Lytechinus pictus: one gene and its partners. The protein of the gene in region 2 interacts with the protein of the main gene of each other region in a pairwise test. Links are inferred from orthologs where the notes say so. Each region holds a gene or a part of one and is shown on either strand. Other genes may lie near its edges.

Region 1 (6,899 bases), on a different chromosome or scaffold from region 2:
AATATTCTCCCAACAAACAAATTGATTAAAATATTTAATTCATAAATCCTCTCCCATTTAAATTATTGCAATGTCATTTGAGGAAATACCTACAAATACAGAAACACGTAGCCCTGTTAATTACAAACAGCATTATTTATCCTCAACTTGGTATGTCACTGTTTTTTAAAACTGAAAATCATAGAACTGCAACTTACTTGAAAAAGATTAAAACACTGTTATTCATGTTCAAATTTCACAAAAACCTTTTACTGCACGTTTTTACATGTTCAAAACATATTCTACAGTTCATAATTACCCAACTCGTCAAAGCAAAAACTTGCACATTCCTCTTTGTCATTCAACATTGCTCTATGATTTTTATCTTTTGTTGGGATACATGAATAGAACAGTCAACATTGCAATATAAGATCTAGTACTAAATTAGTAGTTTTAAGTACAACAAGAAATATGTATTTAAAGTAATTTTTTATATGGCTGAGTAGGTTATTCATTTCTTTCATCTTCTTTTATCGCTCTCTATCATATTCTATTTCCTCTATGATCACAAGCTGTGTATGTGTTCAATGGATCGATAAACGCATGTGATAGGGAGGTGTGTAGAGTCTATACATGAGTATTTTTATGTAGGGCATAGTTTATAAGCAGTTTTTCTTCTTTTCGGTCCTAACCATTTATAAATTGTTATTTATGTATGGTATCTATTCATTCTTACACGCATCATGTTCATGTACTTTGTTGATTTTAAATGGTCAAATAAACAAAATGCCATGAAAATGAAATAGGTCTCACCTTGTATTTTGAGTTTTTCTCCCAAATGTATCTGACATGCCATGCCCAATCTCAATTGACATTACAATGAGAATATCATGCAGAAATTTCTACACTTGTACTTAGAATTAAAATTTTATAAAGATCTACAGTAGGTCGATTTCAAGGCTTGACATTAGCCGTTTCCCGGTTGGCCTTACCTCAGGCAACCAAATTTGAAAAATGCTAAATTTTGGTGCTTGAATCGGGCAACCAATCAATTTTAAAATAGCACAACTTTTCTCCCGATTTTGCACATAATTTATCAACTTTCTACAGTTCAAATTGCAAGCCAGATCGTCACATGCCTTTTTCTTTGATTCACAAACAAAAATTTTGCATACAGTCTTGTTATGACAGTACCGCTCTAGCATAGATATATTCAGCTGCGGCAGTGCTTAAAGCCAATCGCAGCTAGCTAGCAGCCTATGCACTCAGGGAGCTGCGATACGAAATCTTGCTGCTAAAAAATCTTTCACAGAACTTTGAAAATCTAAGTAAAAGTCATATTTTACACCAATATAGTCCATATTGCTATTAAAAATCTGGTGTACCCTGATCATTTGCAAGCATAAAAGGAGGAATTGTCACCTCTCTTTTGACTATAAAAAAAGATTAAGTATCAAATGAATCAATACACACAAATACACATAGGTGAGTACATCACAGACCCACCTGTGTTGATACGTGGTTTCTTTTGAAGCTCTGTCTTTTCCAGCCAAAAATAAGCAGATAATTTCTTTCTTTATTGTTTATAAATGATTTCTTAAACCACTCTTGAGAAAGTAAATACTTTGGGAAGGCATTTCATTGGTATGGAATGTGGATTTTTCTGACATTTTGGCAGAAATGTTATTTTTATTGAGTGAAATAAATAATAAATTGAAATTGAAGTCCTTCGACAAACCTAACCAGGAGGCCTCTAGAGAGTAAAAATCATGTACTAACGTATGCTTACTCTCAACGAAGCAAGGCCAGGGATTCGATTGCATTAATCTACCAGTAGAGGCGCACGGCCAATATTGGAGACTGTCTCCAATGTGGGAGATTATCTCCAATATCAGAGACTTTTGTAAAGAATTTGGGTATCCAATTTCAGAGACAGTCTCCAGTTTTGGAGACCAATTTCCTTTGTTTACATTTGCTGCAAAAGGATTACCTTGGCGGCAAATAAAAATGTGATAAGCGGATTCCTCATGAAAAATTACCCCTTTTCACTGTCTACTTTAAAAATTCACCGTCTACTTTTGTTTTGATAAGGATTTTTGTTGTAAATCACACACAAAACAAATGGGCTTCTGACCTCAGTGAGACAAAATTTTGGGTGGAAAAAATCATGCTTTTGTTGGTGTTGTTTCTTTTGTCCTTTTGCAAAGCAAGTCTCCAATTTGGGAGATTGTCTCCCCTATTGGAGTTAGTCTCCCATATTGGCCGTGCGCCTCTACTGTCTACAGTACACGCACCGCCAAAACACCTCAAACTTTTGCCCCCAAAATTTCTACTTTCCTTCTAAAAAGTAAAAGGTCTAGCCCTAAAATAAATCATGTACTGGGGACTACTGGTACATGGGATACAACTTCATTTCCGACATTTCTACGATATCAACTTCATTTTTAAACAAGAATTCAATTTAAAAAAAGAGAAAAAATTAACACCGTGTTAATTACGTCGCCATCTTGATTTGTCTTTCGGTTTCGCTTTTCGACAGCACGCAATTCGCACATTTTCATCGCGCGATTAGCGTGCTGTCGCCAAGCGAAAGACATTGAAATCAACATCGACAAAAATCTATTGCGTAAACACAGTTGTCATGTTCATAGTGCGAGGTTTAACGTTAGTGCACCAGCCTTGCCTCCTCGATCACGTGCATCAAGAGAAGCCAGCACCGCGCCGTAGGCCTGGCTACGGGTACGTACTGTACCGTACCCCCGGCGAGTTTCCGGGGCTGCAACGCCTTCATATCGCATCATTCAGCTCAGCGTAACTTATGTAAAACTACCTCCACAATTACTTCTTTAGCATTGTAATATTACCTGGCTTAGGCTGGGGTCTTGGAGGTGCAGGTCTAGCAGGTGTCGTCATAATGGTTACAATTTTAATTTCTCTCTAAATAGAAGGAATACACAAAATATATTCCTATTCCAAGATGTAAACAAACACGGAAGTGAATATTGAAAAAATTATACTACTATACGGTATCGTTAACGTTAAAAAAAAAAAAAAATAGGGACAACAGGGCGAGTCGAAGTGGCTTTTCGCCAGCCGATTCTTCACGGGTCTGGGGCTATGGCAGGCGCGGATCCACGGGGGGGGGGGGGCCGAGGGGGCCTTGGCCCCCCTCCCCCCCCCCCCCCCTTGGCAAAAAAAAAGAAGAGGGAAAGAAAGAGAAAAAAGAGGGGAAGAGGGGAAGGAAAAGAAGAAAGGAAGAAGGGGAAGAAGGGAAGAAAAAAGAGAGAGGAAAAGGAGGGAAAGAAAAGAGGAAAGGGGAGAGGGGGAAAGGAAAAGGAGAAAAAAGAGAGAGGAAGGAGGAAAGAAGAGAAGAGAGAGAAAGGGGAAAAGAGAGAGGAAGAGGGGGAAGGAAGAAGAGGAGAAAAAAAGAGGAAGAGCAGGAAAGAAAATGATGTTTGAACCAAAAGGGCGCCGAAATGATGTTTGAAGGAATGTCAAAATGATGTTCGAATTGGGGGCCGAATTGATGTTCGAACGGGGGGGGGCGAATTGATGTTCGACATTGGGGCGCCAAATTGATGTTCGAACTAGGGGGGCGCCAAATTGATACTCGAGCTAGGGGGGGGGCGAAATAATATTCGAACTAGGGGCGCCAAATTGATGTTTGACCTACATGTAGGGGCGCCGAAATGATGTTCGAAGGGATGTTAAAATGATGTTCGAACTGGGGGCGCCAGATTGATACTCGAACTAGGGGGGGAAGGGGGCCGAATCGATGTTCGAACTAGGGGGGGGGGTGCCAAATTGATACTCGAACTAGGGGGGCTCAGAATTGATGTTGGAACTAGCTAGGGGGCGCCAAATTGATAATCGAACTATGGGGCGCCAAATTGATGTTGGACCTACATGTAGGGGCGCCGAATTGATATTCGAGCGCCGAAATGATGTTCGAAGGGATGTTAAAATGATGTTCGAACTGGGGGCGCCAAATTGATACTCGAACTGGGGGGGGGGGGGCGAATCGATGTTCGAGCTAGGGGGGCGCCAAACTGATACTCAAACTAGGGGGGCACCGAATTGATGTTCGAACTAGGGGGGCGCCAAATTGATACTCGAGCTGGGGGGGCGAAATGATATTCGAACGGGGGGGGGGGGGCGTATTGATGATCGACCTACATGTAGGGGCGCCGAATTGTTCCTCGAACTAGGGGGGCGCCGAATTGATGTTCGAACTAGGGGCACCACATTGATGTTTGAACTAGGGGGCGCTGAATTGATATTCGAACTAGGGGCGCCAATTTGATGTTCCAATTGGGGGCGCCAAATTGATGTTCGACCTAGGGAGGCCAAATAGATGTTCGACGTTTGAGTTTGAGAGGATGGTTCGGAGTAATCATCCTCACTTGTTCCCAATGCCAGAGGACCTATAGTCGAAAGTTTGATATGCAGAGGCATGAACAAAAAGCTCACACTGATACAGAAGATGAAGGCAAAATTGAATCTTCCTACGCTGAAGAAGGTACAAGTGAGGATGATTACTCCGAACCATCCTCTCAAACTCAGGGAGTTGAAGAATCTAGTGATTCAGAAAACGAAGGAGAGGATGAATCGTCAATGTCAGAGACAGATAACGTAGATGAAATTGAAGACAACATTGCTTACCGAGTATGGTTAAAGCAGGCCATGACAGCCACCAAGGACTTGAGAGACGAAAAATATCAGAAATATATCTCAGAGGGAATGGAAGAAGAAGACGCTAAAGAAAAGGCTCACGTGAAAATACTGTGGGCCGTCAAACGCATCTTTTTCGATCTTTACTCCAAGTTCTTGCAGCAGAACGTTAGCCTAGGAGAAGCAGGCATCAATCACGAGATCGTTTCTGATCTCAAGGAAAGATTAGAAAATGGCATGGAATTCCAGAAAGCCGTACAAAGAGTCTTAGCCAGGCATGGTCCACAATTTGATGGTTTATTCCAGTTCCCAGATGGAGGTGACGATGACGACGATGATGAAGAAACAGAGAGTGAGGATGGAGTCTACAACTAAAGGCACAGCACCACCTTGTCAACAAAATAATCCAAGAACTTGAAAACTCCGTCAACATAAATGACAGATTGAACTCTATTATTTCCATCGTCAATATTCATACCAGCCATAGGTCTATACATGGATTGTGTTACAGCGAAGATATGACAGTTAGCAATTATTTTGTCTACAACATACGTTTACTACATAACTTCGATTACTTTTACCTTTGTATCAAAATCTGCTTTGTGTATTATGTCTGGACTTAAAATGGAATAAAAAATGAATAATAATAACATATATTGTACAGTGTTCTATGTTATCACCATGTGGGTAAATGGAGTTGACCTGAAGCTAGTGCCATCTACTGGATTATAAAGTTATCATTAGAAAATGACCTGTGTGAGTTAAAGGAGAATGAAACTCTTGGAGCAAGTTAGCTTTTGTGAAAGCAGAAAAATCAAAGAATAAGATCAACAAAACTTTGAGAAAAATAGGACTAGCAATAAAAGAGTTATGAGCATTTGAATGTCGAGATCACTAATGCTATGGAGATCCTCCCATTGGCAATGCGACCAAGATCTGTGATGTCACACACGTACAACTCTCCCATTTGGACACTGAAAATATACCCCAAAACATCTCTTTTTGCTCATTCTAATCATATGACAAACGATTCATCAATGATATAATGTTGTGAAACCTCTGTACTTGTCATCTCATAAAGAGAACACCTCACCTTGTGATAGACTCTATAAAAGTGAGAATATAAGTGAAATAAGTACTAAAGTAATGAGGGAGTTGTACGTGTGTGATATCACAGATCTTGGTCGCATTGCCGTTGGGAGGATCTACATGGCACTAGTGATCTCAATATTCGAATGCTCATAACTTTCTTATTATTCATTCAATCTTCCTCAAACTTTCAACAATATGTTTCTTTGATTTTTCTCTTTGATATGGATTCAGCTGGTTTCAAGGGTTTCATTCTCCTTTAAGTAAACAAATGGATGTTAATGTTGATGATGAAAATGTGCATAAAAACTATATTGATGTAAAAGATAAATGAGAGAAAACGTATAAACATGATTGTAAAGGAGCTGGTATTAGGGCTCGAGTAAGATGGATGGAAGAAGGAGAAAGAAGTAACAAATACTTTCTCGGGTTAGAAAGAAATAATGCTAAGAAAAAAGAAATATCACAAATGAAACGTGAAAAGGATCAGAAAGTTATAACTAGAAATGAAGATATTTTAGAAGAGGTTGTAAATTTTTATTCAGAATTATATAGAAAAAAAAATGTGAAGAAAATGACATTAATTGTATGAAAAATTACGTATCATCTAAAACCGTGCATCAATTAACAAATGAAAGTAAACAGATATGTGAAGGATTGTTAACACATGAAGAATGTAAACTTGCTATATTTGCAAAGCAAAAAAATAAGGCACCCGGATCAGACGGACTTTCGATTGAATTTTATCAAATGTTTTGGTCTTTGTTGAAAGACCTCCTTGTAGAAAGTCTGAATGACTGCTACATGTCAGGAATTATGTCAGATACTCAGCGAAAAGGTCTTATCACTTTATTATTCAAAAAAGGTGACTGTAAAGAACTTAAGAATTGGAGACCTATTACATTGCTGAACTGTGATTACAAAATAATAGCAGCTGTCCTAGCTGTCAGAGTCCATAAGGTTGTTGACGAAATTACTCATGAAAATCAAACTGGGTATATAAAGGGTCGTCTCGTCTATCAGCTTGTAATGTAAGGTTAACAAAAGATGTTATTGGTTTTTTCAATAAGCATTGTAAAACAGGTGCTATTATGTTAGCAGACTTCACGAAAGCTTTCGATGTTTTGAATATAGAATTTTTAAACGTGTGTTTGGAGAAA
Region 2 (7,104 bases):
TCACAGTCCCATGTGTGCATTTGTATGTATGTTGATACTTTGTTTCTTTCGGAGCTGTGTCTTTTCTAGCCAAAAATAAACAGTTTCTTTCTTTCTTGTTTATACATGACTTCTTAAACCACTCTTGAGAAAGTAAATACTTTGGGAAGTCATTTCATTAATATGAAATGTGAATTTTTCCAACATTTTGGCAAATATAGGGAATGACTTTTCTCACACTTTTTTCTTCCAGGATATATAACTTATGTCATTTTCTTTTTTTTTCTTTCATTTTTTTATGCCCCTTCCCATTGAATAAGCCTGATTAAAGAATGTTTCTACTAAAAAATAATGCAAACTAAAGGATATAAAAATAGAAATGCGCCATTACCAAAAGATAAGTGAAAATTATTTGCTTGGCTTTTAATTATATTCCAGTCAGAATAGACTGTTAAAAAATATTTGTAATGGCTTCTTAATTTTTCCTCCTTTCCCCCATTTTTATATAAATTTTGTTTGATTCATTTTTCTTTTATTTTCTTTTGTTTATTTTATAGTCTAAATCTTTTTTCTCTTTTTCTTTTAATTTTTTCCTGTTCTTTGTTTTTTCTTCATTTTCTTTCTTTTGTTTTATTTCACTTATTTCTTTTATTATTATTGTTTCCTTTTTGTAATATACTTTTTGAAAATTATTTTTGTTTGTTTCCCCCTTTTATGCATTGTTCTAATTTTGCAGCATATTTTTCTGTGATTTTCTCCTGCTATAATATGATGCAAAAGAGAAAAAAATTAACTGGATTTGGGGCCTCCATAATCTAGATTTTAGGATTCAAAGAGGAAGAAAGGAAAAATCATTGTTTTGTACATCTATCTGAGTTTGCTATGCAGTATTTATTTACTTTTCCATTATGAATCTGTGTCTATACGGAGATTTTTTTTAAAGTCCACACAATTCATTTATTCTCTTTCAATCATTTCATATAAATGATAGAAGTTAGAACAATCTATATTTTACCACAAATCAATTAGCAAAGTAAAATACAGCAAACAAGGTTTACACACAAGATGTACAAAGTGAAAGTAACTTAGTGGTAGTGGCTGCAGAATTAATCTTTCAGAATGTTTAATGTTTTTTGCTTTATATTTTCCGGGCCACCAAACTTCAATATCGGGCCACCAAAAAAAATTATTTGAAGGTTTTGGTGGCCTGAACGGGCCACCACCGAAAAAAGTTAATGTGGAGCCTTGAATATTCAGTAGCAGCTATTCATATTTCATGTTCTATGTATATTCATAAATTATTTTATTGGTTGTCTGTGCTTATTAGAATATTCATTATTTCTCTTTGCCATGCAAACCAAGTATGTAGACATGTATGCAAAATAAACCCCCAAGGTTAAAATCGTGATCTGGCTCAGGGCAGATCTATACAGGCAAGCAGGGGGTGAACACGTGTATGTTGTACAACTCTTTTTGGATAGACCATGCCTAAATGTTAGCCCTAGGCCACCCTACAATTGATGGAAAATATTGGTGGCAGCATTATAAGACATTGTTATATTAAAGGGATCGTTTAACTTTGTGAGCAGCTGATTTAAAAAATTCTCAAACTGAGTTGAAACGTGCGTATGAGTGCCTGTATTTGTCCTCAAAAACCCTGAAACAGACCACAATATAGGATGAAAAACTCTAATTTAGATACAAGTAGCAATTTATTAGCCTGATTTTGAGAACCGTCTAGTAGACGGGTTCAGCTTATGACCAGTTTTCTCCAATTCAAAAAGTCTGTTGGCTATTTTGCCTGCCTTCTGTTGTGTGTATCTTCTATACACACACTATTAGCTGTACTGTACATTCAGTGTATACCTTGTACACACTGTATGTAGGTCATGCTGTGTTCATCTAGAATTAATGTGTTGTGGTGCACAGATTCCCTGTATACACATAGTCATTGAAACCAACTCCCAATTATTTCAAACTTTGGTTTACATCTCCAAGGTTTTAAAATTGATCCTGTAAATATAATACTTTGAAACTTTTGGGATGGTATTTTTACACTATAAGCCTAATGTTTAGCCCATTTTCAGGAACCAAAAGGAGAATTTTTTAAATCAGAACAAAGTGAAATGATCACTTTAAGCTGTCTCTGCATTTTATTTCATTATAAATTTGTTTACCTTGTATATATTGTTTTAAATTTTGAATGAATATAAACAAATTGAAATGTATATGACACGCATATAGAGGGCGACATGATATTGTGCTGCTGCGTGTCGTAGCTTAGCTACAAACAAAGAGGGCAAGATGGCAACGTAAACATCGGTACGTTACATCCAATCTTCTCATAATAAATTTGTTTTGTTTTTTTAATTTACATTGTTTTAAAAATGTAATCAATAATGCATAATTATTGGAAATGAAGTTCTAGCCCATTTACATGATTTAGGGCAAGAACTTTTACAAGGTAGAAATCTCGGGGGCGAAAGTTGCAACTTTGATCGTCCTACTTATACTACGCACATGATGGGCACAATTCCTGGCTCCGCGAGCCCGTAGTCGTGGAGAATATTTAATTTAGTTAATGATTTTTACTCCTGGCTAGGCACAAGCTAGTGCAAAATCATTTCATACACTGTCTCACAAAGACACAAGGCTCACACAGTCACAGTCATGACAGTCACGCCTACATATTGCAATTTGCATTCATTGTGCATTCTGCCATTCAATTGATCCCCCCTCACACATTCACAATCTCCATTCAATCACAGTGCACACAGTGCAGTGACAGTCAGGTGAGTCAGTGGGAGTGATTCTCGATACTCACTTTGCATCTTTGCCAGTGCTCGTCGTATCGTCGACTGATGTCGAGCTCTGCTGGTGATTTTTCAAGGCCTCAAAGGACCTGGCCAGCTTCTCCATGTTTGATACACTGACCGCTCGATTCATGATGACCGGTTGTAGTCAGAATTCACGAATTATCTTGAAATTTCCACCATCATCGCAGGCGAATTCACGGTAATCCAAAAGCTAGTCATCTTTAAACGTAAGAGGGCGGCAGATATCTGCTTCGCATTTTGTTCATGCAAATTTGGTGAAATAAATGAAGATATAAAAAGCAAGCTGAGGTCTCAGTTTTACATAAAAACTAAAGTAATTTTCTTTTCTTTAAACATAACTTAGATAGTGGGACTATATCATAGATAGAGGTATGGAGTATAATCACCTAGAGAAAAAAAATGGGCATGTGCTCTCTGTACTTGTTAACCCCTAAGGGGCGTGAACATCATTCTAGGTCTCGCAAAAATCCCCCCCCCCCCCAAAAAAAAAAAAGAAGAAGGAATTCAGCTGTGTGATATTGAGACACAACAAACACTTGCTAATTTTTAGACTTTTGGACATAAATCAAAACAAAATTATACGTTACTTACTAAAATCTAAGTATTTTTTATGATCAAATAATATCATATAGACCAGCTGGATTAAGTATCAATAATTGCCGTTTGTATCCATCACATTTCGGCTCTTGACACAACGATCTTTTTAAACCATCTAATTGTCTATCTATATTCAAGAAAATTAATTTTGGTATTATTATTCCCCCCCCAAAAAAAAAAAGGAATTCAGCTGTGTGATATTGAGACACAACAAACACTTGCTAATTTTTAGACTTTTGGACATAAATCACAACAAAATTATACGTTACTTACTAATCTTAGTATTTTTTAAAGATCAAATGATATCATATAGACCAGCTGGATTAAGTATCAATAATTGCCGTTTGTATCCATCACATTTCGGCTCTTGACACAACGAACTTCTTAAACCATCTAATTGTCTATCTATATTCAAGAAAATTAAATTTGGTATTATTATTTTATCAATTAGCCCTATACATTTCATTAAAATTGTATTATTTTATGAGAATCGCACAGTGATCCCATTATTTATTTGCCTGTGATATTCGGTGAATTTCAATAAAAACATACATGTAAATTTATGTGGACATGAGAAACATCTATCTATCTACATGTGTATTTTAAAAAATTAATCAAACTTGTTTCGATTTCTGACATAGATGGAATAGCTAGCTCCTCACAATGTAGAACACAAATTCATTTCTTGAATAGTTAACTATATTATGCAAAGATCAACTTAACGCTATGAAAAAATGGTGTCCTACCACATTCTTAAATTATTGGTATTTTCCTTTATGGATATCACAATAGTATGAAAATTCAATGTGGTATATAGGAAAGGTCTGGAAGAGAGATGGTTATTGAATTTCAAGACCTTGATTGATGCTGTGTATTTTCTATAAACTGTTAAATGAATGGCGGCGTTCCACAGTCAAAATGAGACCCATGGTGTTTTACTTTTGTCCATTATGTTGTACTGCAACAAAAAATTAATATGTAAAGGTTCGTGTTCTATTCTTTTTTCCTATAGGACTTTCAAGTTCGCCTCAGTAAATTGTATAAATCCTCGTAACTTTGTCAAATCCAATGTTAAGTTTGAAATACCCACAGCTTTCCGGTCCAGGATAGAACAACTAAAGGATAAAAGTGTTGGGACTGGGGGCCATGTGGCCATGTATTGTATCATGTTCATCATATCATTTTCTATCCTTATCTACTCAATTCTTACATATAGACGGACACAGAGGGCCGAAGCGCCCCCCCCCCCTGAGTTAGTAAAGCAAAAAAAGAGGAAAAAAGGGGGAAAATTGAAAAAACGAAGGAGAGAGGGGGAGGAAAGGATTTTTTTTAATTGAGTCATATAAACATAAAATTTTCGCTCGCGCTTCGCGCTCGCAATGCCTTTAGAGTGAGACAGTAATCTGCTCAAGAGGATATTATGAGGGATTATGAGGCCGAAAAGTATCACGTTTTCAAGTCAATAATTACAAATTATTCTGCTCGAGATTCGAGTTTTCATTATTTTGTTTGAGTGTGATACGCATCTAGTTCATAATTACATAAAATAATGTCTGGACTAGAAATGAGTCAGCTTGCGGCCTCGCCAGTACTGGGCCTTGCATGAGCCTGAGGCGCTCTCATTTTAATGCGATACGAATATCCTTTTGATTAAAATTCCTGAATGCCATTGAATGGTCCCTTTTCAGATCATTAACATCAAGTATTTAATTAAAGCTAGCAGCCTCGCGCTTTGCATTCACGGCATTGAAGATAAGCATCCTGTTCATGATTACAAAACGTACTTAAAATGTCCCGTTTATAGGTATAAATCGGCTAAAATTTTCAACCAGCGCTTCGCGCTCGCATCATGTGAGTTCCATATCCTCTTCACAATTTTCCTGCATGTTAAACAGTGTTTAAATGTTTAGATTCTTTCGTTTCAACACATAAAAAACACACTCTGGCTTCGCGCTATTATTATCTAGTTAGATACAATCCTTTCATGATTACAAAAAGTGCATAGCGGAATGTCCCATTTTTAGATTAAAATCTAAAAACCAAATAGCTAGGGCTTCGAGCTCGTATATTTTGTTCAACAGGGTTTTTTTTCGCGTCCGCATAAATGGTATACCTGTACATTTCATGGTTACAAAAAGTACCTAGTTTTCAGGTCGGAATATGAAAAAAAAACCAACAGCTTGTGCTTCGCGCTCTCATTATTTGATTATAGTGAGATGTGAATCATTTTTACAGTGGCGGCATCAGGATTTATAAACTGGGGGGACTAAGGGCAAACGAAAAGTATGGGGGAAGAAGGGATTTGTTTTGTTGTTGCGTATTTCACAGAATCAAGTGTGAAGAGCGAGTTTTAGTGACTTGGGTGCTTGGAATCACATTTTGGGGTATGGATCGAGGAGTCCAGGGGCAGATCACACATAGGCGTTTCTATTACAGTTTATAAAGCGGGATTTCGACTGCCAATACTCAATAGGAAAGAGGGAGTAAAACTATTTTCATGCACATTATATCCCCGATCACCCCCTAGAAGCTAAGTTTTGTTTATGTTTTATAGAATGGGGAGTCCTAACCAGGGTCATGGGAACGATTATTTGATTGGGGGTGCTGATGTAAATTTGACAAGCAAAAAAAAATACTACAAAATGAAAGTAATTTGAGTCCGCAGAAATTTGACAACCCCCCCCCCCCCCCAAAAAAAAAAGCTAGGGTGAGGGTCTGTACAAAATTTAGGTAATTTTTGTTACATTTTTCAATTTCGTCTCACCTTCCAATACCAGGGGGTGCTGCCTATATGGAAAATAATACACGCATCACCCCCAGCGGCCCCGCTTCCCAGGGCCATGGTCCTAACTAAGACTGGAGATTAGCATAGTTTATAGTTACAAACAAGATAATGTATCTCGCATGGCCTAAATGAATAATGCGCAGCGAGCTGAGCTCAATTCTTTCAAAAATATTTTATGTATTAATTAGACCCGAAAATTGAACATTCTGCGCAGTTTTTGTATATTCGAGAACGGAGCGCGCGCTGATTTTTATTTTTTATTTTTATTCATTGACTTAAAAAGATACCTGTTAAGGACTGTTTGCAGTGACTTATGAAAAAGGATGTCTCAACAAACAAATAATAGGAGCGCAAAGCGCGAGCTGATTTTTTTTTAATATTCCGAGTTGATAACTAACGTTCTAAGCACATTTTTAAAACCACGAACAGGGTGGGTATCTAATTAAACAACTGATGGGTGCGCCTAGCGCAAGCTGATATTTTTTCATTTAGCACTTTAGAACAGGATGTGTATCTTGCAAAAATCAAATAAAGAGAAGAATGATTTGTGCAGATTGACTTGAAAATTTGATATTTTAAGCCCCATTGAGTAGATCGCTTATTATTATACGCAACAGCCACTGCGAGCGCGAAGCGCGAGATAAAGTTGGATTTTTATATAGGCCTAATGTATGGAAGGTTAAAAGTGCCATCCAGATGTTCATATAATCATCTCGTCATGTTTACATCTCGTGTGAGAGATGATCAGATGACAAGATTCTTGATTTTGTCATGTCTTCATCTTATAGAAAAGATGATCAGATGGTTTCGTCATGGCTACATCCTGTGGGATAGATGTTCAGATGGCAAGATCTTGGATCTCGTCATGTCTACATCCTGTGTGAGAGATGATCAGATGGCAAGATC
Region 3 (7,148 bases), about 3.0 Mb from region 2:
ATCACTAAATGAAGTGGACATAAGACCATCTGCACAATAAACTAAATGGTAGTTAGCCCAATGTCAATAATAGACCAAGATATGTTTGAATAAAGTGGCCATTGGATCTAATTAATAGTAAACCAAGTGGGTTACGCCATGAATCATGGCTAAACCCACTTGGTCTACTATTAAATAGATCCATTGTGTTGAGAAGATGATCTGAGAATTAGACCATCTGCAAGTAGACCAAGTGAATAAAACCATTTATCCCATATCTCATATCAAGCTTCCTCTTTACATTAAAGTAGTCTATCATGGAAAATTTCATATTTCCAATTATTGATGAAATTAGAATCACAGCACTGGAGACAGACAATACATTAATCTTCTCTACCATGGCATCCTACTGCATAATTAGTCTCATACATGTTTCTGGTCTCATCTGTTATACAGATGGTATCCATTCCAACATTGCCAGATACATGCGGCTGAATCGTAATCAATAACATAGGGCCTGAGAAAAAAAATCGATTAGAATTATAGTTAATGATTAATTTAAAATGAAAATAACTCATGGCCTGAAAAAAATCTGAATGCAGAACATTGTCTGAAAACTTGCATCTGTGTACTTGCTTAATGATTTGCCTGCATTTTATGGCATTGACACCTACATGTATATCTCCCTGGATGTTATTTCTAAGAATTTTGGAAGTAACATTATGACATAATAAGATGCACCAATAAAAAATCAAATCATACTGCTCCTATTAATCAAAAGGCTGAATTACTTCAACCATGATTCAATAATAACAATTAAAAAAAAATTGAAGACAATACTCACTCTGAGAGGGTGATAAGACCAACAGTGTTTTCAGGATTAGAGCGGGTCTTGGAGAGACATACGAGATTGACTGCATCTTGCTGTGCTTGGATGCGGGTTGGAAGAAAATCTCCATTCCGCATGTATTCACTGGTGTCAACACTGTTTAAACACACAGAAACAACATAAATGATATGAAAGGACGGTGCCTTCATCAGATATTCTAAACTGTTTAAATTTTGTTCAACCTACATGGAGGAGGGGGACATTGAAATCTCACATACATGTATGTATGTGAAGATATAGCTCTCATGGCTATGCTTTAATAACAAAAAGTTGGCAGTCAATAATAAGATGACCAAGCTAAAAGAGCAAGACAAGATGAGAAAGAGCGAAATTAAGGACCCCGAGTCTGACGGGACCCAAAGTGAAATTGACAAATCATATTTTAATTGAAAGCTTATAGAGTAACAAACCCAGATTTCGACATGTTCTACCATTCGACATGGCAAACTTATTCCACAAGCCAGCACAGTCAATCACCACAACTCACACCAAACATATAGAGGTCTAGACAGCTGGCAGCCATCTGTTTCAAGGGGTTTTTAAACATTTTTTATTTTTTTATTTCTCCTACATGTAGTACACAGACTAGCCAGCAGGCTCCTGGAGATTAATGTCATATCACTGACGTGCTTAATATCCATGGAGCCAGGGACGGGATGCCATTGCACTACACGTACAGTAAGAGTTGCCACGCTCTAACTTAATGGAAATCGCACATTTAATTTAGGGTTTGAGCCCAAACTTATGTAAATGGGCTACAATATCATTTCAATCCGTTTGGCTCAAAAATAGTCATATTTTAAAATAACATTACACATAAAATGAATGAAAATATTAAAAGTAGAGGAGCGTTTACTCACATTCTGTTATTTTCGCCATCTTGGCGTCTTTGTTATCGTAGCCTGGTTACAAGACGCCTATAGAGGTCGACAATATCATGAGCAGTGCTAACTTAGATAAAAAAATTACTTGCATCGGCCAATAAATATCATGATTCATGATATTTATCAGCCGATGAAGTATCATGAATTGTACATTTATCGGCCGATGCAAGCCAAGTATTTAACGATTCATATTTATCGGCCAATGCAAGTATTTTTTAAAATCTAAGTTGACACTGCTCATGATGATATTGTTGCCCTCTATACACCTCTTTGTAGCTAGGCTACGATCACTCAAGGGTTCATTATATGCCGCCGCGCACAGAAAAATCAAGCCATAGAAGTCGTGTGTTGTGGACACCAGAAGTGGGATCCCAGCACACGCGACCCACTAGTTAGGAATCCACTGCCAAACGCGGTTCATGGTGCAACTAACCTCGCAATACGTGTACGTGTGAGTGGGCTACGATAGGCAAAGACGGCAAGATGGCGACAATAACAGACTGAGACAACGCTCCTCTGGACTCCGAGTCTGGAGTCTGGTGCTGGCTCTACTTTTAATATTTTCTATTATGTTTAATTATATAAAAAAATATCTCTTTAAGACTTTAGTGCTAAAAGCTTACAAATAGTATTGTAGCCCATTAACATAAGTTTGGGCTCAAACAAAAGACAAAACCTAAGGCTAAGCCTAACGTAAAGAAAATGAGTAGGGTGTATTTTTGCCTAACATTGCATGTTTAATTTTGGAGCAACATGGTCATGAATTCATGATTAATATTGTTGCCAAATTACTTGGTTTGTGTAAAGCAATGGCATCCCGTCCCTGGCTCCATGGAGATTAAGCACGTCAGTGATATGACATTAATCTCCAGGAGCCTCCTGGCTAGGGTGCATATATGGAACTCTTCCCCATAAATTGGATTTTAAATACACCGCAGCAATGTAAACATTACATTAAAAGCAATTCGTGGGACCGATATAAGACGATGAAAAATGCATAATCATTGAGCGTAAAGATTCAGCAACATTGCTTCCGAAAAAATGCTTAAAATGCAATATTTACATTTATCGACATGCTCTAGAAATTGAAAGTCAATATATTCAAATTTAGATATCATTCCTCATTAAATAAAGTGTCATTACTTACCAAACTACCGTACTTTCGAGAGGCATTTTTGCTGAATTCTAATGTTCTTCCAGGACTAATTACTAGCGAAGAGGGCGCTTTTATAAGATCGTATCTCTGACTGTGGCACCTGTATTTTGCTGTATAATAATTGTAAATACGTTACTACTATTGTTAAACCTTTATATACATGTATCATGTACATGTAATATGTTAAAGCCTTAATTTGCTCCCACGGGACCAAAAGGCGTTATTTCAATAAAGTTCAAAGTTCAAGTGAAAAAAATAATAAAGAAAAAAAGTCGGTGAACCAATATTTCGATCAGTGTGCTCCCGAGCACTGGTGTACGACCAAGAATAGAACAGAGAAAAGGGAAGAAAGAAGGAGGCGGATGAAATATGATATCATTTTCTGAACATTATGTTAACATATATCACAAAATTCTATTTTTGTCACGAAAATATAAAAAATTTTGCTCCCTCGCAACTTTAAATAAATTTTACGCGATACGCCACATCTATAGCTCCCTCAAAATTTTAGGCTCATTATACGCCTCTGCTCCTGAGTATATACGTCAAAAAAATTAATGCAATCATGATTATGATTATCACAGTAATTTTGATGTTTTCTTTGGTTATTTTCAATATCAAAGGATTCCGCACTTCTTCAGACCCCGTTGCTCAATAATTCAATAAAAAAAAAAAATTTTAAAAAAAAGGAGAGAAGAGAAGGCGTCATGGTGAGAGTGCCGGGGCAGACTTACTCCCGATTTTGTAACAATGAAAAAGTGTGGCCCTTGGTCTATGCGAAAAGTTGCCCTATTTGGGGCAGGGCTGACAGGCCACTGTTTTATTTTTGTAGACCCTATAGTGTGGACGTCTGTGCCTAATAAGTATTTCGTTTTCGGCATCAGATAAATTGAGGACATTTTAAATCAACCTCACAACAGTATCCTCAATTATTCCAACATATTCGAATAAGGTTTTTTTCCCCCCATCTTCTCCATTGTTAGATATACCGCACATAATAATATTGTATCCACTAACTGTCTCCTTCAATTCGTGTGGGTCTTTTTGCATGGGCCTTTTAAAAATCTTTTTTTTTTTTTAATGTTTCTTGTAGGCATCAATAAAATGAATCCAGGACTTTTGGACGGGGGATCTTAACTATAAAAAGTGAACCTTTGTAGTTTATATTCAGTTCCGTTTGCTTCAGCCTTTTCAGGGGCGGATCCAGCTTTGGTCAATATAGGGCGGACACATTTATATTTTAGTCCACATTTTCCCCCGATTGGCCACTATAAAGCTGAAGTTTTAAATGACAAGTCCGCCCCAACTAAAAAAAAGTTTAGTTGAATAAAAAAAAAAAAATCCAACGAGCATATACACACTGGAAATTTCATCAAAAAGTAATGAAATCTTCAAGTTTCGTTTTATTTTAACAAAACAGTTACTATATGCGCATCCTGGTCGGTATCAGGGGACTGATGACGTCACCAACTCACAATTTCTCAGTTATTTTATTGTTTGAAAATGTCGTTGGAAAAAAAAAATCATCTATGAATATTTTGTATATCAAATTACTATCGTAGCATTTTATGGTTCAGTCAAGTTGGCCCTTAGTGTAAAATCTGTAAAAATTGAAATATTGTATAATTCAAACAATAAAAAGCAAAAGAATTATGAGTGAGGAATGTAATCGAATCTCTCTATAGTAGGTCACTGAGTTGTGCTAAAACTGTTTTTGAACAATAAAGCGAAATTTTAATATGTAATTACTTTCTTAATTTGCATCCGATTTTGATGAAATTTTCAGCGCTATGCTAGTTTTTTTTAACTGTTTAGTGTTTATATCATATCCCCCTATTTTCCTGTTTGCAGCGGGCATGGACCTGGCAACGGAGGAGGAGGATTATTTATTATTACTTGGGGTGCTGTGACAATGCTCAGCACCCCAAGTAACAGTATATTTATCCTCTGTGGACGGGTCCATGGCAGCGGGGGTTCCATTAGAACCCTCTGTCTAGGGGCCTAACATAATTATTATGTCCCTATAAGGCATATTATGTTCCTCGATCTCAATTCAAGCAATGTATCTAATCACTTCTGATAAAGACCGTCTTAAGTGCCCTTTACACGGACCATAGTACATTAATTTAAGGCTCTTTAGTAGCCAAAGATCACTGACATGAAATAAAAACCAAATTGAAAATATAACGGGCTGCATTTTTTGTGATCGCATTTCTAAATGTTCGTTTGATAGTGTTCATCTTTTTATCAGTACTGCTACAATTTCTAAGCATTTCCCTTTTTACAATTAAAAAAAAAATAGATAAAAATGGCCCAGTATGCAAAACAATATTTCATTTTTTTTATCACACTAACTTAAAATTCCATCTATAATCTTATCTTTCTTCTTTGATGGATCTCTCCTCGAGACAGCCAGGGCAGAATGTTAGTATAGCGCCATCTATAAATCCACCCTTTTCAAGGATCTTTCATTATAGTATACGGCAAATTATAGATAAACCATGTCCCCTAGCTCCATGGATAAACTAGCAAAACAACAAAAGAAAGGCAGATAAATTTCGAAATAAAGGTGGCAAGGAATTAAAAAGATTCCGTCCTAAGTTTTTGTTATAAATTGAATAACACTTCACTAAATATACAGCGCATTCGTTATACTTTTACTGATGATTCTTGTGAAAGATTATATATATATATATATATATATAGCACTTTCTCGAGCTATGAATGCTGTAACAAGTTTTTAAGACTTTACACAATTATTTGATTATTTGAAGGTTTTTAAACAACTTGTTTAAAATTCTAACCAAGAAAACATCACCACCACCACCATCATCATCATACAGATTATCACCACCATGTTTTATCACAACTGTCATAATCATAATTACCACCACTGTCATGAAACCCGATGAATCCCCGGCATGAAACATCCATGAATATACTGAAAGCAAATCACCACCATCTGGTTTACCTGCACTCCGGTGGGCCTACACGTCTACCACAACCATAATCCCCACCCCATCACTACCACCGACACCACCACCACCCCCCACCATCACCACCACTCGGACCACCACTCACAACAACCAAATCATCACCATCTTAGGCACTCCGGGTCATCAACCACCATCTTACTCCCTTTGGCGATGAGCTGAGTGTAATATAATTATTGCGGAAGTTGTCGCCGCGGTTGTTGTCGTGGGCGTTGATGTTGTTGTTGAGGGCATGTGTTGTGGACCCGGGGGGGCCACTTACATTGACGAGTGGATACCATGCGCGACCAAAAAAACACGTAAAAAGGATGTCCTTTTCACGATAGGGCACGTTACGTACGTAACGTGATAAGGGTGTCAAAAACACAAAAATAATGAAAAAAGGGTATCTATTTCGCTAGGACAATTACGTGTTTAGGGTCGAATTTGCGGGGATGATAAAACAAAATTAAAATGTTTTATAAAGGATGTCCTTTTTGCCCCAACACTTCGTGTTTAGAGTCCAATTTTCGCGAGATGTAGAAGATGCGGTCGTACTAAACCAAATTAGGTAAAGCCGACGACCGAAAGACCCGTAACAATAAAACATTCATGTACTTGTTTAGGGGTTCATTTCAGGGAATATTTGCCAAGGGTATCGTTTTGTTTCCAATACTTGTTAAGGGTAGGGTTTCACACGCCAATACTTGTTAAGGGGTGCATTTTCAGAATATGGAAATTACGTGTTTAGGGTGCTTTTCGAGACCCCATGGTCGCGCATGGTATCCACTCGTGAATGGAACTGGCCCCCCCGGGGTTGTGGAGTTGAGCAATACTACTACAACAAAAAACTTGTATGGGATTTCCCTGAATCCCTTCAATAATGTGCGGGATTCCGCATGAGTGATTGGATAAATTCCAATCACATGACTTGACAATCGGATCACTCACTCATCAAACATGGCGACGTCGGGAGAGGTTCGGTGAAGTGAGAGGAGCATCTACCGGCGCGCTGAGACGGTGTTTGGAAGCAGATTTTCTCTTCTTTGCTAGTAAATTGGAATATATGCATGACACAATGACGGGGTGGGTTCCAACAAAGGAGGCAAAGTATGCTGTTGGTAAGTATTTTATACAGTTATCGCACAGTTCAGATTTTTTTTATCTTGAATTTCGCTTGGGAGGCCGAGGGAGACGGAATTCAGCTGCAGACAAGGGTCATTGCCCATTCGGTGCGGCAGAGCCAGAGCCACCGGGGCCGGGGCGAC
Region 4 (6,953 bases), on a different chromosome or scaffold from region 2:
CATACCCAACGCCATCTTTACCTGGAGAAGACTCTTTACATTTTTTTAAAGATATTCTCAATTCGTACATGGTAAAGGGTTCATTAAGGACACTACTACCCTTAGCATCACCAAATGATGATATGATGTCCTCATATTTTTTAACAATATCTATTTGTTCAGGGGTAAAAACTTTGCCCTTAAAACTATCGTTTATGTTTTTAAAGTGGTTGGCGTAAGTATCCGCAACGTCATTGCCAGTAACAACGGAACTATTCTCTCTCATGAGAACAATGTTTTTCCTAGGCGAAATACCATCATTATTGATCCTTTTAATCATATTCCAGATCTCGGATAAAGGGGTAAAACGATCAATGTCTTGACAGTACTTTTCCCAGTAAACTCTTTTGGCTTGCCTTAAAGTTTTCTGGGCAATAGATCTTTTCTTCTTAAAATCCTCCAATAAATCTGGAGGGGGTATTACATAACTTTTCAATTTGCTCCTTACTCTATTTCTCTCCTTTATTTTAGAGGAACATTCTTTATTCCACCATGGTACTGGGTTTTTCTTAATATTCTTGGTAGCTCGATGTCCTTTCAAATTTTCCAGGGTAATCTTAATTGATTCCATGAAAGAATCGAACTCTATGACCTTGCCTCCTTTCTGTAAGGTATTCCACTGCTCATCAGTTTGCCGCCTAAATTCATCCCAATTTACATTCTTTGTGGATAACATTGAACTGATAGACTGAGAGTGGTCGATCTTTGTTTGCGTACCATTCCCTTTCAGTATGTTCAACTGGCTTAACAATGGATAATGGTCACTTCCAAAGCTGTTGTTCAGGACCTGCCACGTTGTTTTGTTCGCTGTACAAGGAGGGGCTAATGTTAGATCCAAACAAGAAAAATTATCCGTGTGGTAGTCTACTCTAGTGGCACTTCCATCATTTAAGATAACAAGATTTCTCTCGTTTGCAAATTCTTCCACTGCTTTGCCATTAGCATCTGTTTTTTTACTGCCCCATAATGTATTATGGGCATTAAAGTCTCCCAATATTACAAAGTTTTTCCCCCTCACATTTTTTAAAAGTTCATTCAGCGAATCTGTGCTAAGTTTGCTGCACGGGTTGTAGAAATTAACTACATTTAAAATCTCATCATCCAATAAAATTTCTAATGATATGATTTCCAGATCATCGTGTTTGATAACACCTTTGTAGTTTAGTGAGGAATGGACGTATATAGCGCAACCCCCTCGGAACCCTCCTTTTCTGTTCCTATATTCACATATATAGTCTGGTATCTGTAAGACCCTCCCCTCTTCTAACCAAGTTTCTTGTACACAAATAATTTCTAAGGGTCTTTTTTGTTGATTCAAAAATCTATTTAGCTCATCCCCGTGGCATTCAAGACCCTGTGCATTCCACTGGAGAATGCTGAATGCCACGAGGGTGATCAGACTAGTAGAATAGGCTGCGAATCGACTGTAAATCAACGTCTGTGGGATGTAAACCCAGAGCATCTTTCAAAATATGTGTTATTTCATCAAATGGATTACAGTCAGGCTTTGTTACTATTCTGATTAGTCTAATAAAGAAAGAAATAAGTGTGATGTCTGAAGCACCTTTCAAGAAATTACTATGCGTTTGGCCTACATTCTCAGACATTTTACTTGTCACCTCTGTTTTGGTAGAAAATTGCGAATCCGAGATGATTTCCATTTCGGTTTGATCAGAAACTGCATTTCCTTTCTGAGTGTTTATTCTATTAATTGGATTTGTTACTTTTTTAATTTCTGCCTTGTTTACAAAATGTTTTCCCTGCTTAATTTCCTCGTTTTGTTCGGAGCGTAGTCTCACTGCTTGCTTTTCCAGCATGTTTTAAATGCTCACAATGAGGCTCAATATCTATGATTTACAAAACTGTTTAAAGGGGAATCCAACCCAAATAAAAACTTGTTTTTATAAGGAAAAGAAAAATCAGACAAGTTGATAGGTGAAAGTTTGAACAATATTGGGCAAACAACAAGAAAGTTATGAGTTTTTAAAAGTTGTAAATATTGGTAATCACTATACCCATGGAGACTTCAAATTGGCCGCATATGGGATGTCATAGTGATGTATTGTAAGGCAAGGACTACTCTTCCATGTACTCCAATACATATTATGGCTAAAATGTAATTTTTTCAAAAAGTTTTTATTTCAAATTATATTTTTCTTTCATGAGGACATAAAACAATATACTACCTGGGTTATATTTAGATTACTGCCCCAGGGGAATGGGTACTTTAGGAGAAAACCACAAATCCCTGATAAATGTTTTTAATTTTACTCTCTGGGCCAGAGAGTAAAAACATTTATCAGGGATTTGTGGTTTTCTCCTAAAGTACCCATTCCCCTGGGGCAGTAATCTAAATATAACCCAGGTAGTATATTGTTTTATGTCCTCATGAAAGAAAAATATAATTTGAAATAAAAACTTTTTGAAAAAATTACATTTTAGCCATAATATGTATTGGACTACATGGAAGAGTCTGGGATTATTAATAATTATTATTGTCTCAACAATATTATTATCATTATTGTCTCATTATCATTATTATTGTCTCATCATTGAAGTGCTGGCTAGTTAGATGTGAGACAAAATTCAGTCTCATCTGCATCCACTGATCTGAATATTCAGATCAGTGAGTGTCTGTATCTCAAACTCAAAGTACACACCGCAACTGCAACAGTACCGGTAGTCGGTACACACAAATAAATATGTGGGGCAATGAAGAAGAACGAATCCTCGGACCTCAATCTTCATCACATAAAAATCTCTTAAACCGGCATTCGATACAATTATCTTACCTTAAAACGATAACATAATATTTTCTATAATCGTAGATGGAATCACATCAATCGAGAGACTTTGCAAGGGCTAATTCGTGCTTCTTTCTTAGGCTTAGCAACGACAAGCCATTCCATTCGTCCTTTTTTCTTAGATGTTATTTAGATAATTTATAAACGTACGTGCTTAGAGGGCGCGCGTCAATTCGTTACTCACAGAGATACGATCTTACGTATATACGTAAGCTCCCGAAGGGAGCTAGACAGTCAGACCGCAGGTCCCTATGCTAATGAGCAAAAAGGCCAGATTCATCCAAATCATCTCGCGGCTGAATCCTCCTCCTTGCAAAATCTCGTGATTCGTGAGATTTTCTTTCTCTAAGAATTTACCTGTTTTAACCTCAAGTTAAATGAGATATTATTGCACCATCAGATAGAGTAAAAGTTACTCTTTCATATTGGTCATTTATTTTGTATACAATATTTTGTTAAATAAGTAAATTTCTGGCCTGAAAATGTGCCTCAAAACTGAATTTTCTTCCTCTGTTTTCTTTTGCAAATTGTGCAAAACTTTTTATTTTGAGCCTCAATGATATCTATATCACCATTAAGCTGAACTTCTGTACTTTCTCACAATGCCACTCTTGATATGCGGCACCTTTTAATCGGGTCAAGATCACACTTTTCCCACCAAGGTACAAGACGAGATTTCTGAAATTTTGTACTTGCAAGAAATCCAGAGTTCTGATTGGCTGGATAAGGTTCACAGAACAACAGGCGCGGGGTATTTGAGGAGATTACCACATGGGAAGTGTGACCTTCCCACGAACCCAGGCACTGGGACCGTTGGAATTTGCCATTGTGTGGTCTCTTTGACCAATCAGAGTGCAGTATTCTTGTTTTCAAACTGCTTTATGTACTTGGCAAATGAAAAGTGTGATCTTGACCCGATTAAACCAATTCCTATTTTGAAACCTATATCATTTCAAAGCATATATATTCAGCTTTATCATGATATAAACATCATTTGGGCTCAAACAAAAATAAAGTGTGAAAATAGCAGCTTTTGTCAGGTGAAAATATTTATTTTGTAGCATATTTTAGATCAAAATTTTAACCTATATTACAAAATCTTTGAATAAATCCAAACACATGACCTAAAAGATTGATTCTTCTTCTTTACAATGGTACCAAATTCATGAAATTCGATGCACAATTAGAGCAGCAATGACCGAATAAAAAGAGGTGTTTTGGTCCGCATCAAGCTCATTAAATATGCGAAACATCTCAAGTCATGAATATCACTTGGATGAAAGAAGCCACTTTCTTGGGACCTGCAGTCTGACTGTAGAGAGGGAACTCTTTCCGCGCGTTTTTATTGCCCATAGGTTTTGTACATAGCCAACATGGCTGCCGGCGGACAATTTGAAGGATGATTTTGGAGGGTCAATGTTTTATTCATGAGAATGACGTCAAAATACGCATAATGCACTTGTATGATTGGATTAAACGCTAATGTTTTATTCATGTACTCATGCATTAAACATTTTTTTCCGTCCCACAATTCCCTACGATATCTGTGCGAAGTGTCGTTCTTTTGGACTCTGCGAATTTCTTTTTTTTAAACGAAATAGCTAGACTAATTATCTGTTTATAGAATTGATGTTCGAAATCATGGTTTCTGAGTGAACTTCATTGGAGCGGAAAATCATGGAGGGAACATCAATACTATTCTAATGACATTCCATAGGAATAAAAGTAAGTTACGCTCATTTTCATGTTTTGATCTCACTTGCAAATTGTAATGTGTTTGCCGGGGTTCGGGGCTCATCGCATCCTGTATTACGCACTATGTAAACCTCAATTTCAATATTTCTTTTGCCTGACTTCCAAATAAGTGTGATCATTAAGTTTCTAAAAAATACTATATCTAGGGGTCTATAGTTTGTCGTAGATCTAGACATTCATCGGAATGCTTCATGTAGGTCCAAAGTAAACCTTTATTTCAGTTTTATTGTGATTAGACAATTATCAGGGGTAGATGTGGACTTGTTTCCGACCTCCTGTTTTTTAGTAACGACAAACTGTCGATTTTAGGCCTATTCAAATTTAGGTCAATGTAGGGATATGGTCAGAGCGGGATCCGGCCTTTGATATCGCTGGTGCTAGCCGGCTAGCGAGATTGTCGATGTAGTCATGGGGTATAAAAATAGCGGGGACGGACTAGGCCCAAACTTCAAGCTTGAAAGTTGAAGTTTAGGCCTAGTCCGTCCCCTCTATTTCATCTTCATATGAATAAGTATAATTCTCAGCAGTTTCTTTTATTCAGGAACGCTTTACTTCAGAATAATCAGTGTTGAAATACGATTGACTTAGCATTAATATCTGTTATGTTAAGTGTTACTTGTCTTACTCTTAGTCTTAGATTTGAATGAAATGGCGTAGCCTACCCTAGACCTAAATCAAGTCTATTTGAACAGGATACCCTGGGCCTGGCCTGGGGTGGTAATTTGAAAACGTTCTTAGTGTTTACTTCATTCAAATGTGATGTGATTCTTAAGTTATACAGGCCCAGCATAGACCAGATTCAGCTATATACAGCTGTAGAAATATGTGGTTGGAATCATTTTACTTTTATAAACAGAGTGAGGTAGGCCTATGCCTCGGCTCTATGTAATAGAGAATGAAGTTTCGGGTCCAGATAACTTTTTTGTTCTAGTTTGGAATATTCATTCATAGACCTGGGATATGGGCAGCTGGAAATTTAAAAAATATTGTTTAAGAAGAGTAATTTTATTTATCTCTAAAACTCTCAAATTTAAATTGTCAATTGCAGATCCAATGGGACCAAGTTCTTAGCAGTTCACACCTAGTCAGAAGTACAAAATTGAGAACCATGCCGATCAGCAAGTGTTAGTTACAATCTAATGAGGAACAGGATATCTGAATGGAAAAAATTGCAAGGTATGCTTACTGTTTTGATAATATACAGGCTGTATCTAAGCTCATCACCCCCCCCCCAAAAAAAAAAAAATAATAAAACCAAATAAATAAATATTTCCCCTTTTTGGGAGGGGGTGGGCTATGGCCAATTGTGCTGAAACATGATGCGATATCATGTAATGTTAAAGTTCCATTGTGAGTTAATATTTGTTTGAATTCAGATTCACCAGTATTTCCATTTCTAACACTGCATACTAATTATCCATATCTCCTGTCTATACATGCATTTGCATAAAAAACCCAAGATATTAACAGTTATCACAAAATTCTGATAAATATTTGAATTAATTTGCACTCTTTATTTTCAAAACATACTGTAGATAGTTATATTGATATATGAATTTATCTGGATGTGGGACGAAAGTGACTGCATGTGCCAAACTTGTTTTATCACTGAAGATATAAAATAGAGTTTACATCTTTTTTTACTAAACTGGACTAGATGAGTAAAAATAATTTACAGCTTATTATGTTCTTTTCTCTATTTTACCCTGCAGGTTTCCCACTTCCTAAGCTGTTTAAGTACTGGTATCACAACATAAGTGCCAAGAAGAGATATGAAACGGTCTAAAAAAAATTTGCTGGTGCCCCCCCGATGCCGTGACCCACGGTACGCCACTGCAAGTCTTCATAAATTATGTATGGTTATTAAGTTGCATTTATTGTTATCTTCATTTTTTAAAAAATGTGAAATGGGCTACCACTGCAATAATATATAAATAGACTATATTTCAAAAATAGATTGAATTCTAACCACAGTGACAGTAGACAAATCAAATTTTGTTAATGATTCGCTAATGTATTGAATGGGGAAGGCACTCTTTAGGATTCTGGCATTGTGTCCCACCCCCCCCCCCCCCCCTTATGAGGAGTGCTCTCACATCAGTAGACTATTTGTCAGCAAATTTGAAAGGAATTTACCAATTTTTTTGAGTGACAAACTTTTGTGGAAGAAAATAAACGAATATCAAAGGTTTTTATGCTCTTTTATGGAATATTAACTATAGGCTCATCGAGATCCTTGAATGAAATTTTAACAAACATTGTACAATGTAGAAAAATGTACTTAATCCTATTTTTGTACATTTATATACCCACCCCATACTATCCTTACTCAGTAACAGCCCTTTTTAGCTATGC

What was found.
Region 1: the proteins of huntingtin-like (region 2) and osteoclast-stimulating factor 1-like interact in binary tests that used the Homo sapiens proteins (3 or more experiments, as listed by UniProt). The link is inferred for Lytechinus pictus from reciprocal best matches to the Homo sapiens genes HTT and OSTF1.
Region 3: the proteins of huntingtin-like (region 2) and 26S proteasome non-ATPase regulatory subunit 4-like interact in binary tests that used the Homo sapiens proteins (3 or more experiments, as listed by UniProt). The link is inferred for Lytechinus pictus from reciprocal best matches to the Homo sapiens genes HTT and PSMD4.
Region 4: the proteins of huntingtin-like (region 2) and tetratricopeptide repeat protein 23-like interact in binary tests that used the Homo sapiens proteins (3 or more experiments, as listed by UniProt). The link is inferred for Lytechinus pictus from reciprocal best matches to the Homo sapiens genes HTT and TTC23.

The regions. Positions count from the first base shown.
Region 1 is NW_026974140.1:5,291,283-5,298,181, forward strand, and holds the start of osteoclast-stimulating factor 1-like, read right to left. Parts: upstream 3,011-6,899; 5' UTR 2,893-3,010; coding exon 2,844-2,892; intron 1-2,843.
Region 2 is NC_087256.1:7,276,420-7,283,523, forward strand, and holds the start of huntingtin-like, read right to left. Parts: upstream 3,033-7,104; 5' UTR 2,926-3,032; coding exon 2,804-2,925; intron 1-2,803.
Region 3 is NC_087256.1:4,229,990-4,237,137, reverse strand, and holds the start of 26S proteasome non-ATPase regulatory subunit 4-like, read right to left. Parts: upstream 3,004-7,148; 5' UTR 2,926-3,003; coding exon 2,900-2,925; intron 965-2,899; coding exon 824-964; intron 1-823. UniProt on the Homo sapiens protein: Component of the 26S proteasome, a multiprotein complex involved in the ATP-dependent degradation of ubiquitinated proteins.
Region 4 is NC_087247.1:10,752,531-10,759,483, forward strand, and holds the start of tetratricopeptide repeat protein 23-like, read right to left. Parts: upstream 3,026-6,953; 5' UTR 2,832-3,025; intron 1-2,831. UniProt on the Homo sapiens protein: Participates positively in the ciliary Hedgehog (Hh) signaling.